Linked DNA regions of Arabidopsis thaliana. The protein of the gene in region 2 interacts with the protein of the main gene of each other region in a biochemical or structural test. Each region holds a gene or a part of one and is shown on either strand. Other genes may lie near its edges.

Region 1 (6,702 bases), on a different chromosome or scaffold from region 2:
TATCAGCATGAGGATGAGGAAGAGAGCGGTGCTGATTTTTCGGTGGCTGTTGGATCGACGGCGGTGGCTTCGAAGGTTATATTTCCGGCGGAGGATTTTCACCGGAGATGAATGTATTACCTAGGGTTTGTCTTTAATTTAAATATATCTCCGTTTTTATAATAATGTTGAGAAAGAGAATAAGTATATCCAGCAGACGTATACTATACATGTAGAGTTGTCGTGAAATATTTGAATGAGATATATGCATGTAGTTATTGGTTAATTATCATACTAGTTGGAATTAACTGAATTTACATACGAATCCAAATTAATAAATAAGTAAAGGATTTGATGATCCAACACCAGCCATTATCCTCTATTTTGATTTCTTGGACAAGAAGAATCAATCAAGCAAATCTTTTCTAAACCCTAGAAATCGGTTCCATCTCAATTTCTATATACAATTTTAATTTATTTTCGCTGAACAAAACAGGAAGAAAAAACGATTGAATTTTCCAAAATTATCTCACCATTGTTGGACTTGTATTCCTTTTGAAGAATAAAAATTAACCGACACTGTTCTTTTAAGTAAAGTTTATAAGAAAAATTAACTATATTATTAACTGTTATGATCGTTTAAGCTCAACACAACTAAAGACAAAAAAACAAAAACAAACATCAAATTACAAACAAAAAGGTTATGTTCTTTCCAAAGAGTAGTGATCAGTGAACAAGACCAAACAAAAACCCTCGTCTCTCTACCTCTCATGTTCTTCACATCCTGCAATTACAACCACACAAATAAGTCTCAGATCAATAAACTTATTCAATCTCAAATCTTTAACAATCAAATTCTATTCTGAACTGAATCAATTGATCATAAAAGATCGAGTTCAAAAATACCTGAATCTCGGGGAGATTCGAGTGTTGTTACGTGTAAACGAGAGGGAGGAGGAAGAGAGGAAGCAGCAGGAGAAGGCGAGCCGAGATTGCTCGAGGGATTGCTGTTTTGTAGCCAACCTTCTTGAACTTGAGAAGCAAACTGAAGATTCCACAGGACATCTTCAATGGAAGGACGTTCTAAAGGGTCTTTAAGGAGACACCTTACACATATCTCCATCATTGTCTTCAGTGATTGGTCTGAACAAGCTCTATGGACCGTTGGATCCACCATGCTCCTACGTGCTCCATCATCCGCTGAAATGCTTGCTTGTAACTACAACAAATAAAAAAGAGTTTTTAAAGTAGATGATAGCGATTCCACATCAAGCTACATATATATCGAATGGTGTTACCTGCTCTTTTAGAACATCGACTTGACTCTTTGCTCTCAATGGTCTTCCCACTATAAGTTCAAGCAATATCACTCCAAAATCATAGATATCGATTTTATCTTCGTCTTTGATGCTGTTAAGAAACAGAGGATTAAACCATATAAACCGGTTTACAAGCTGATGAGAAACAGAGGATTAAACCATATAAACCGTTTTTGATTCTTTTGAGAAACAGAGGATTAAACCATATAACCGGGTTTACAAGCTGATGAGAAACAGAGTAAAGAAGATTATTACACACCTTGGAGTGCCTTTAGGTCCGCTCCGAGATCCTACTTGCCCCACCTTAGAAAGGAAAGCAAAAGAGATTCAAAATTCAAGAAACAAAAACATTCGAACTTTTGACATCGTCATTTACCTTTCCAAGACCTTCCACAAGCAATGGAAGATTATAGCTACTGAGTTTCGCCGCAAGGTTATTGTCAAGCAAAATGTCTGTCATTTTAAGGTTGTTATCATAAACACCAGGCACAATACCGGTATGCAAGAACTGGATCCCTTTTGCTACACCTATCGCTACGCTTATGCGTTGTTCCCAAGTAAGCAATCTTCCCATGTGCCCATCTAGCACAGCAGAGACAAGAACAATCCGATTTAGTTATTAAAAAATATATAATGATCATCTTCATTCTTAAAACACATGATGTTTCAGTGTGGTACCAGAAATCCAGGTCCTGAGTTCTCCATTTGGGACATACTCAAAGACAAAGAACATTCTGCTGACTGTTGAATCATCCAAGTAGCACTCGAAGCAGTGCCCGAGCACACTAACCAAGTGACGGTGCCGCAGTTTAGCGATGAGCTCAATGTGATGCATCAAGTTTTGTGTGCTGCAACTTTTCTTCATTTTCAGACACCTAATTGCCACAAAGGATCCATCTTTCAATCTCCCTCTATAAATCTGAAAAGAACAATGAAAACAAAAATCTTGTTTGATTCAACTGTTCAAAAAATGGAAACTAGCTAAAGAAAGATTGAAGCTTCACTGCTGTACCTGTCCTTGAGAACCTTCACCCATGAAAGCAGAGGATTCAAAGTTATTTGTTGCATACTCGAGCTCCTCCAGTGAGAATGTCCTGTAAGCTGGAAGACCGAGCCCTCCTAGCTTCATTGTTTGAGAGATATACCCTTCAAAGTATTGCAGTTACAGCACAAGTTATCAATGAAGACAAGTTCTATGTAATCTATGTGACAATATGTGAGAGATATTTTATCCTCTTACTTGCATCTGATAGTAGTTTCGATGTGTACCCCATTGAAGCATTCTCTCTAATCAATCTTGGGGAAGATTTCGTCACTGTTTTCTTAGCATTTAATCTCCTAAGAACCACAAATAAGGCACCGGCGAGGAGAAGTACCCCGAGAATGCTTGCGGTTACACCTAAAGCAATACCCACTTTGGAAACTTTGTTCCTCCTCTGTGGTAGGATTCCAACAGCAAGAGCTTCATTACTACAAAAAGAAACTGGACGTTGATCTTCATTCGTAGTAGCCAAACAGTTGCTTGCATAGACAACATCTCTGCTAGTGCCGGAACTCGGTTTAAGGCAAGTAGGCAAACTTCCGGTAAGAAGATTTGATGACATATCTACAAACATCAGCTGTGAGTTGCAAGAAAGATTTGCTGAAAGCCGCCCGGTGAGTTTGTTGTGTGAAATGTTCAAGTAAGTTATCGCGGGAAGAGACATCAAGGAAGTAGGAAATGGACCAACGAATGTATTGTAGGAAAGATCCAAATGTTGAAGCTGATACAGAGAACTTACTTCTTCAGCTGAAACTGCAGATCTAAACTTGTTCTTGCTGAGTATAAGAGTAACCAGCTTGTTACTTAACCGAGGAAACAACGGTCCAAAAGAGTTTCCTTCAAGATCAAGCACTTGAAGGTTTGTCAAATGGCTTAAATCAGGCAAAGCTCCATTAAACCGGTTATTAGCTAAAGCAAGAACTCTAAGACCTGACAAGCTACTCAAAGAAGAAGGCAATGACCCATTAAGCACGTTCTTTCTCAAGCTCAACACAGCTAAACTCGGCAAAGAATCAATCCAATCCGGTAACTCACCAGAAAACATATTCTCGTCGAGTATAAGCGTCTGAAGAGTAGCAAGCGACGAGAGTTCATGAGGGATTGGTCCAAAGAGGAAATTGGAACTCACATTGAGAATCTCCAAAGAGGATAAACGGTTGATTTTCTGAGGTAACCAACCCCATAACCCAAGGGACACAAACGTGAGAACTTTAACATCAGGGAGCTTAACAAGAGTAGTAACAAACGAGTTTATTGAGAAACTCTTTGGTAACATATGAGTTCCATTGTCTCCTATAATGTGAAGCTGCGTTACACTATCTTCATAACACACAACGGTTAGCGAAGGGCTTGGCTCAGAATTGCAGAAATCTGTATAGTTGTTCCAGCTGTTTAACACTTTGGGATAGTAGAGAAGCTGTTGCAGCCTCAAGAGGGTTTGAGATTGAGATGATTGTAGCTGTGTAGAGCCATCAATGGAAGCTAAAAGCAGAACCAGAAGCAGTAACGGCATGCCACAATAGAGTTTCTCCATAGCCACACAAGACCATAAAACACACACAACTACTAAATAAAATCATATAAGCATCATCATCAAAACCTGCAAAGAGAGAGACACATTTCATTCAAGAATCACATTTATATATAATGTACTTACAAAACAGGGTCCACTCTCAAGATCTTGATATTTTAACCACTTTCTCGTTAATGCATTAAACAGAAGAGAATCTTAGAAATCAATCTTCAAACTAAAAAAATATGATTTTTGCATGTGAATTCCAGAAAAACAGGAAGAACTCACCACATGTGTTACAGAATCTCCTCTTTAAGACACCTTGCAAGAAGAAAAGATGCAGGAAACTTTTGAGCACAAGAGATTAAATTTTATTTTTCCTGGAAACAAAATTTGGTTTCATCAGAGTAAGAAGAATGAGAAAATGAAAAGACAAATCGTTTCCTTTGAGATGAAGAAATACCTCTGCAAACTTATGAAGTAACTGTGAATGGAATATCGATTTTATCTAAAGAAACAAAAAAAGTAGCAACTTGATTTAAAGAAGAAAGTGAGAAAAGTTCCCAAGAAAATCCTCTGTAAGAGATGAAAGTTCCTCAAGGAGCTTTAAAAACATTCAAGATTCCTTCACGAGTGATTATTATATCTTATAAGAATAAAACAGAGGATACTCTGGGAACAATATTAACCCAACAAACTTTTTTTATTTTTTAAATAGACAATAAACAAAAACAAATTCTGTAAAATCAATGCAAAAACATTTTAGCAACCATACGATTTAGTAAATTGTCAGTGGCTAACGACAGAGAGTTTGGTCCTCCTCTCTAAGTCTCCATCACGAGATGAAGACAACGATAAATTCTTTTTACAAAAATAATTTTAAAACAAACAAACAAAATAGAAATAGAATTTTTTTGTCCAAAAAATAATCTTGTAAGTGTTCACATGCATTTTTAACAAATTAAAAAAGAAAAAAAAAAAAGCGAATCCAACAGGGTCTGGCCGACGTTTTTTTCTGATCTTTTTATTTTTGGTTGTCTCACTATTTATACAGTACACAAAGTAAATTATTTTATCAGCATTAAATATGTTCATATTATATTATCACTTTCAAAAAAATAGGGACCAAAGAGAAATCCACTCCAGCCAAAGCTGTGGCCAAGAAAAAGTAAAAAGACAAAAAAAAAAAGAAAGATAAAAAGGTAATGATAAGAGAAATATTCTTTTAGGGTTTAGGCCTTTAGGGGGATGATCTACAAATACGAGTCTGAGGCAAACAAGTCTTTATATAGTATAGATTTAATTTTGATATTTTTTTAAAGTTTCTTATATGAATATTAATTTGATTGAGAAAAGTCTGTCTATCAATTAATTGGGTATGCTAAGTTAAACAAGATTAATCAAGAATGAGTAAACAAAACCAAGTAAATTAGTGTAACTCTAATTTTGTTTTGAATTTTGATCATGTAAGAAAGCTGAAAACAAACTAAACATAAAAACCACAACAACTACACCGGAATTTTATCAAAAACTAGGCTTAAAACCAAACTGAAAGAAAAAAAAAAGATCCATCCAAAAACTTAAATCTGAAAGAGGTAATATATATATTTAAGGTGAAAATAAAAAGAAAGCGAAGTTGTGACACATACTGTAATGTAAGCTTTCGCACGAAGGCATCTCCATCAGAAAGGTCACACCAGACTTTTAAAGTGACACATGTAGGTCCCAATCTTCTCCGACCTTTTCAAAGTTCAAGAAAACAATCTTAATACAACAAATTAGCTCACATATAATATGATCAATAAAGAATAACATGCAAGGAATTGGAAATCAAATTAACAAACAATTTAAACTAAACTCGTGTATTTAATCATATTAAATTGAAACTAAGGCATGATGTCTTAATCTCTTGACTACTCTCACGTGCCATGAGTGATTCATCTTTTTATTAATCTTGTAGTTTTTTTTAATATGATTCATAGTTGCAGGTATAAGAAAACAAGTAAAGTAAATGCTTACAAACATAAGAAAACAAAATTCTGTGAAATTTTAGTCCACCTGGTTTTATATAAGCATCTTCTTCTGTTAGATTTTTCTGTGCATCGTTTAGGAATAAATATTTAATTTTAATTTATCTTATTTTTTTCCTTCATTTTGCGTGTTTCATTTTTTGGTTAGTTTTGTTTTGTATCTGTTGGTTGCATGTCTCAATAGTCAATGTCGTCGTATACAATCATAGTTTAAATAAAACTAAAAATTGTTGGTGCAGCTTATAATCGACTAGCCAACTTTAAACAATACGAAATAGAACGTGGTAATTTCCAATTTCGATTTCTTTTTCCTTAACAAAAAAAGATTGATCTTTAATTTGGTAGACGAAAAGAAAATTAATAACGGCTAGAAATACATTTATACGACTATTTTAACTGGTAGTGAAAATTGATCGACTGGCAACTATAAAATTAATATATTATGAAAATTTATTGGCTAAGTGAAGTAATTTGAGATTATTTCATAGAAATACATTTATACGACTATTTTATGTTTTTTTCTTGATTACTATCATGCATTCATATGTTACATTATTCTGTTTTTATCACATAAATATATATACACTACATTAAAGTGATTTGTAGAAAGCGAAAGCAAATACTTAATTAAGACGTACGTTAGAGCCTAGAGGAGTGTGTGTGTGTGTGTCATTTTCGTCTTGCGGTGTAATAAATTAGGTTAGATGGTTTGTTCAACATTAAGATTTATTGTGGTTTTTGTTAGGTATGTCGTAATTGTGAAGTGATCATTTGCTAATTTATCAACCGCATCCTCAAACTAATCCTTTAATTTTATTC
Region 2 (6,795 bases):
GTGATTTTGATGCATCAACCTACAAAAAATCGTTAGGATTTACATAATTGAAAACTTGTAACGTTAATTTAATCTTTTTTGCTACGTATAACTGTCTGACTTGATTAGCTCAACTACTCATCAAAATTTAAGTTTTCCATGTGATTTATAACAAGTCTTGTTCCAAAGAAGTTAAGATTTCATGAAAATATATATACATAAATAGTTAAAACTTACAACAGTAACCAACACACTGAAGTTTTTTTTCTATATAATGCTCAATTATAAAATAGATATACGTTATTTAAAATAATCCAATACAAGGTCACGGGATTTCATTCCATGGAATAAAGTCTCTCTTTCAATACATTAAAAAAGCAATACTGATTCTTCCTAATAACCCTCATTTACCCCACATTGAGTTCATGTGTTTTTTTTTAGTTCACCTATACAATACAAAAGATAAGAAATTATACGATATATAAAATGTAAACGAATGAAACTACATGAATGTGACAAAGTAACATAAAACTACACGAATTTATGGTTTCCAGTGTCCGGCGAATTCATTTATTGGTAAGACGTAAGAGACAAATTATATGATTCTACCATTCAAATTCAAATATCGTTCTAAACTTTGTATAAAAACATATAGAATGAAAAACCAAGAAAAATCTCGTTCTAAACTTTTTTTGTATCAAAGATATAATGAAAAGATGAATAAAATGGGGGAAAAAAGTTGATTTAATATATCATTGATGTTCTATTCTCTGTCAAGAACAAGCGGGCGTATAAGCTATTAGCCAGATTGGATCCACACATGATTTCACTTTGAGCTTTAAGTAGAGTCTCTTTTAAATGTGTATTTTACTCATTGATTAACATGAGAGGAATAATAGTTTTCATAAGAGTACAAAAAAATAAAGTATATAACATGAGAACAGGCCAAAAGGTAACATTATGCTCGTGGATTTCATGAGTGGACAATACTATCTTTTACTCTATGTAGTCTATTATTAGTCGTTTTCACGAAACTATCCCACATTTCTTTTGTCCATCTATATCCTGTCGTTTTCCTTTTTGCTGCTATATCATTTTTTAGAATTCTCTCAAAATTTACATTTTTTTTTGCAAAATACAACCTTCACGTATTCTTTTGTGTGTTCTAAATTGTAACTCTGTTTTATAAAACCTCAATTTGTTTTGTGTAGTTGAATTTACTAGCCAACTAATTAAGCCGAGTGTTTCTAATCGTCAAATCATTTTTCAGAAAAAAGTCAGCCAACTTACTTTCTCACCAACAATAAGCCAATTTGGTTCTTATATACTCACTCAATATTCAACTATAATTTACAAAATACTTTTACTATTATGAAAAAAACTCATGCATAGTGTCTTCAATGTAAGTATGTCCTACAAAATGTTTTAGAGTTGGCTGGTCAATAAATGATAGATTCAGAATTCGTAAAGATGATGATATATAGAAAGAGCTTTTACAGTAGCAAGTACAAATAATTGATAACCAAATGGGTAGAATTTAACTCGAAGACGTGGCAGAGAAGGTGTACTATAAGGAATTTAAGAACACAAGTAGAGGATTAACAAAAGAAGAAAAGGCTTTGGAAAAAGCAAAACAAAACTGATAGCGAAAGCCAAATAGCCCAAAAAGAACGCGAGTCAAATGTTGCCTCCCAAAATTTACTATTTTTTTACTCTCATATTAAAATCACTCTAAATATACATAGAAAATTGTTCTCCAAAACATTAAAATATGTTGAAAAAATAAAATGAAAGCAAATTCCAAACTCCCACCGACACCAACACAAACACACAAGTCAGTAAGTCAGATTCAATTATCAAATATGGTCAAGAAATTCAACAATCTCATATCAATCACACAAGATAAAGTATAAAAAGACTTATATAAATGATTGAATCAGTGATATTAACTACTATTAACAATCTTGTCTTATGAGTTAAATGAAGTCTTAAATACGTTTTACCAATTAATGTGAATGAATCTACGGAGAAACAGAGGTTTTTAGTATAATAATCATAAAATAAACCTGAATTAAAATATTATATACTAAAAAATAGTTTCTCTCTCTTCATAACTCAGAGCAAGCTTGGAATCAATCTCTCAATCTCTCACTCTCTCACTACCTATCCTTTTCTTTAATGGCGATGTCTCTAACTACTACTATCCCCAACACACACTGTTACTCTTCTTCTTCTTCTCTGTCACTGTCTATTCTCTCTTTTGGACCTTTCATGGCTATGTTTCTCTGCAATGGAAGTCCAAGCTCGTGATCACCAACACCGACACGCTAATGGCTATTGGAGATAGAGCTATGTTTACTGTTTTGCTTCTATTCATTGCTTCGATCTCTGGATTCTCTGTTGTTCGTTGTGTTACTGATCCATCTGATGGTAAAGTATTCAGCTTTATGAGTTTTCTTCTTCTCTGCTTTTAACCTCATTGTTTTGATTGATCATCTATGTGATTTGAGAGTGAAGGGTTTTTAAAAGTTGATTACTTTAGATTTAGAAGATGAAACCCTTTTGCATTAATGTAGATTTGATGATTTTTGACACCGTCTGTTTTCCTGAGAACCCGCCGGAAAATAATATTTCTGCTTTACTTACTTTTTTAGCTCAAAAAGGAAAGTTGTAAACTTTATGAAAGATTTTTCTTCTTTCTTGATAGATCCTTTGATGTGTTTTTCTGACTTGTGAGCTGTTTTCTTCTTTCTGGTATTATTGCAGTTCAAGCCCTTCAAGTTTTGTATACTTCACTAAATAGTCCTTCACAGCTAACCAATTGGAAAAATGGTGGTGGTGATCCATGTGGAGAGTCATGGAAAGGGATTACTTGTGAGGGCTCTGCAGTTGTCACTATGTAAAGAATCAGATTTTGAGTATTATTTTTGTTCTTTCCACTTGCATTGATTTGTGATTGTCTTATAATGTTGTTGTTTTCTGTTGTTATGATTGTAACAGAGATATATCGGATTTAGGAGTCTCTGGCACTCTTGGATACTTGCTCTCAGACCTTAAGTCACTCAGAAAATTGTATTGTTTTTGGAATTTTCCTTCTGTTTTTGTTTGTTTGATCTTTCTGCTCTTTGGATTTTGGTTCAATAACTTTGGTCTCTTTCGTTTTGGTTACAGGGATGTTAGTGGTAACAGCATCCATGATACACTTCCATATCAGTTGCCACCGAATCTCACAAGCCTGTAATGCTGTGTTTGCTTAGCTTTGTTGTTATAGTATTTACTCTCAGTTTTCAATTTGAAACTAACAGTTTAAAGAAAATGTAATGCAGAAATCTTGCGAGAAACAACCTAAGTGGTAACCTTCCATACTCCATATCCGCCATGGGTTCTCTTTCGTATATGTGAGTTTGCCTTTCTAGAACCATACACTGTGAGATTAGCATGTTTAGTTTTCTTATGTATTATAGTTTGAAATGTTATTGTGTAGGAATGTAAGTGGTAATTCACTTACAATGTCAATAGGAGATATCTTTGCTGATCATAAGTCACTGGCAACCTTGTAAGATCGCTTACCTATCACTTTAGCATAGTCATATCACTTCCAGTTTCCATTGATCTATTGTTTCTTTATTCAGGGACCTTTCTCATAACAACTTCAGTGGCGATCTTCCTAGTTCCTTAAGCACAGTGTCCACACTTTCCGTTCTGTAAGTGCTTTCAAACAATCTTTAGTGGAACAATACTTAAGAAGTGCGAAAGGAAATTCCATGATAATATCTGATTATCTTCATTTGTGACAGTTATGTTCAGAACAATCAATTGACAGGTTCCATCGATGTTCTCTCGGGGTTGCCTTTGAAAACTTTGTAAGTTTCATTGCAAGTAGAAAAAGAAACGAATGTATATATTCCTCCATCACACTTACCGTCTATGTTTTCTTGGCAGAAATGTTGCAAACAATCATTTCAATGGATCCATACCTAAGGAGCTTAGTTCTATTCAGACCTTAATGTAAGTTTTCAATAACAATCTGTTAATTTCAATTTAAACTGTAAGTTTATGTCTTTGACATTCCTAAATGAAACAGATATGATGGTAATTCCTTTGATAACGTCCCTGCCTCTCCTCAGCCAGAAAGACCTGGCAAAAAAGAGACACCTTCTGGTTCTAAGAAACCCAAAATTGGTTCTGAAGAGAAATCTTCAGACTCTGGCAAGGGTTTGTCTGGTGGAGTAGTCACTGGTATAGTGTTCGGTTCTCTATTTGTTGCTGGTATTATAGCACTTGTTCTTTACTTGTGCCTTCACAAGAAAAAACGGAAAGTTAGAGGAAGTACAAGAGCTTCCCAAAGAAGTCTTCCGCTTAGTGGAACACCTGAGGTGCAGGAGCAGAGGGTAAAAAGTGTAGCATCCGTTGCAGACTTGAAGTCTTCACCTGCAGAAAAAGTAACGGTTGATCGCGTTATGAAGAACGGCTCTATAAGTAGAATAAGATCTCCTATCACTGCTTCACAATACACTGTTTCCTCTCTGCAAGTTGCAACAAACAGCTTTAGTCAAGAAAACATCATTGGTGAAGGTTCTCTAGGCCGTGTCTATAGAGCAGAGTTCCCCAATGGAAAGGTAACTCAAAAGTTGACAGCTTTCTACACTAAGCAAAGCTAATATTCTTTCTTTGAACTAAATTTTTCTGTGTAACATAATTCTAGATAATGGCGATTAAGAAGATTGATAATGCAGCACTTTCATTACAAGAAGAAGATAATTTCTTAGAAGCCGTTTCAAATATGTCGCGGTTGAGGCATCCAAACATTGTTCCCTTGGCTGGATACTGCACCGAGCATGGTCAACGTCTTCTAGTGTATGAATATGTAGGAAATGGGAATCTAGATGATACGCTTCACACGAATGATGATAGAAGCATGAATCTGACTTGGAATGCGCGTGTTAAAGTGGCTCTTGGAACTGCCAAGGCTTTAGAGTATGTGCAAATTGTTATGATTATTTCTAGCCTCTTTAATGAACAACATTCATCTTAAACCAAAGTTTTCTGATTTTGTTTTTCTAGGTACTTGCACGAAGTTTGCTTGCCTTCAATTGTCCATAGAAACTTCAAATCAGCGAATATATTGCTAGACGAAGAACTTAATCCTCACCTATCAGACAGTGGTTTAGCTGCTTTGACACCTAACACTGAGAGACAGGTAATAACAATGGAAAGAATCAGATTTAATCTAATTGAAACATTTTCTGAGTCTTTCATGGTTTATGCATGTCAACAGGTTTCAACTCAAGTGGTAGGTTCATTTGGATACAGCGCTCCAGAGTTTGCACTGTCGGGAATTTACACAGTGAAAAGTGATGTATACACTTTTGGAGTAGTCATGCTTGAGCTCTTAACTGGTCGGAAGCCTCTTGACAGGTTTCTTTTCATATTTTTAGTAGCCAATGTTGAGCAATAGCCAATGTGAGCAAAAGCCTGATTTGAGTTTCCTTATGTAAAATGTGCTTTGTGTATGTGTAGCTCGAGGACGAGAGCAGAGCAATCACTAGTGAGATGGGCAACACCGCAGCTTCACGATATAGATGCTTTGTCTAAAATGGTTGATCCTTCTCTTAATGGCATGTATCCAGCTAAGTCACTGTCTCGTTTTGCGGACATCATTGCTCTCTGTATTCAGGTAAAATACCATCCAAACTCTGGAGAATGTCCTAATTGAACAAAACCGAAATTGTTTTGTAAAGTAACCATATCTCTCTATCTTTCTTTGTTAATTTAGCCGGAACCAGAGTTCAGGCCTCCAATGTCAGAGGTGGTGCAACAGCTAGTAAGATTAGTTCAAAGGGCAAGTGTTGTCAAACGAAGATCAAGTGATGACACTGGATTTTCATACAGGACACCTGAACACGAGCACGTCGATATCTCATTCTGAGTAATGATCCAAAACTACTCCAAAATCGGGTCTTTTCTGTCATTCGAAGCTAAAATGCAGCTTGAAAACTCAAAAGGAAGAGAGAGTTTTGCTCAATGCATAAGAGAATCTGATCCAAAGGACTACAGAGAAGTAAAGAAGCATCTTGGTTCATACCAAAAGTGTAAGAAAATATATGTTTGTGTATTTTTGTAAGAGTAAAATTAGAGTACATAACCATGTTTCAATCATCTTTCTTGTACCATTTTCTCTTCACCTGTTGAATAATCAAGTATGAGACTTGTTGCTGCATCAAAATAACATTTGAAATTTTGCCTATTTAAGAGCTCTTCTTTGTTGTTGAATAATTTCGTAGAAGCCAGTTTGATTCTTTAAGAAAAGTGAAGCATGATTAAGAAGAAAGATAGATCTGATGTTAATTTTTGTTGAGATGACCCAAGTCAAAAGCGTTGTTCATGTTCATCTGTTCTCATCAGCCACAAAATAACAACAGACCATAACAATAAACAAACCTAAAGTTAACTTAAACCCCACGGAAGTCTATACAACTGATTCTGCCAACATAGTTTTCTTCATCATCTCTCTGATCTCTCCTCTTTTTCACATTTCTCTAAGTTTTGGAACGCACCATACAGACATCACAACCATAGACGACAAAGACCGACAAAGATAAACCCTAACTTACTAAAATCTGCACCAAAGAGCTTCCCAAGTTATATAACTTATCATCTCTTGTGGCTTTTATCCCCAAGAACTCGCGATTACCTTTTTCTGCGCTTCGTTTCCACCTGATGATGAAAACATTTCAGCCTTGTTAATATCGGTGACAAGACTTTGGGCACAAAATAGGAAGGAAAAAACGGGTTCCTTAGAGTGCCAGACATTTC

Evidence for each region. Proteins that work in one complex are often made in the same cells at the same time.
Region 1: the proteins of SRF8 (region 2) and AT3G03770 form a complex in vitro, tested with the Arabidopsis thaliana proteins (one large-scale study listed by BioGRID).

Annotation. Positions count from the first base shown.
Region 1 is NC_003074.8:944,563-951,264, forward strand, and holds AT3G03770 (Leucine-rich repeat protein kinase family protein), read right to left. Parts: upstream 4,677-6,702; 5' UTR 4,317-4,676; exon of another isoform or gene 4,234-4,316; 5' UTR 4,142-4,233; intron 3,941-4,141; 5' UTR 3,875-3,940; coding exon 2,539-3,874; intron 2,445-2,538; coding exon 2,311-2,444; intron 2,218-2,310; coding exon 1,977-2,217; intron 1,881-1,976; coding exon 1,675-1,880; intron 1,602-1,674; coding exon 1,558-1,601; intron 1,390-1,557; coding exon 1,278-1,389; intron 1,199-1,277; coding exon 886-1,198; intron 764-885; coding exon 741-763; 3' UTR 515-740; downstream 1-514. Other genes in the region: LBD20 (LOB domain-containing protein 20), read left to right, coding at 1-111.
Region 2 is NC_003075.7:11,721,424-11,728,218, forward strand, and holds SRF8 (STRUBBELIG-receptor family 8), read left to right. Parts: upstream 1-1,964; 5' UTR 1,965-2,309; coding exon 2,310-2,409; intron 2,410-2,745; coding exon 2,746-2,878; intron 2,879-2,979; coding exon 2,980-3,051; intron 3,052-3,150; coding exon 3,151-3,216; intron 3,217-3,282; exon of another isoform or gene 3,283-3,305; coding exon 3,306-3,377; intron 3,378-3,463; coding exon 3,464-3,535; intron 3,536-3,611; coding exon 3,612-3,683; intron 3,684-3,776; coding exon 3,777-3,842; intron 3,843-3,921; coding exon 3,922-3,987; intron 3,988-4,063; coding exon 4,064-4,598; intron 4,599-4,684; coding exon 4,685-4,956; intron 4,957-5,043; coding exon 5,044-5,179; intron 5,180-5,257; coding exon 5,258-5,397; intron 5,398-5,499; coding exon 5,500-5,656; intron 5,657-5,755; coding exon 5,756-5,908; 3' UTR 5,909-6,270; downstream 6,271-6,795.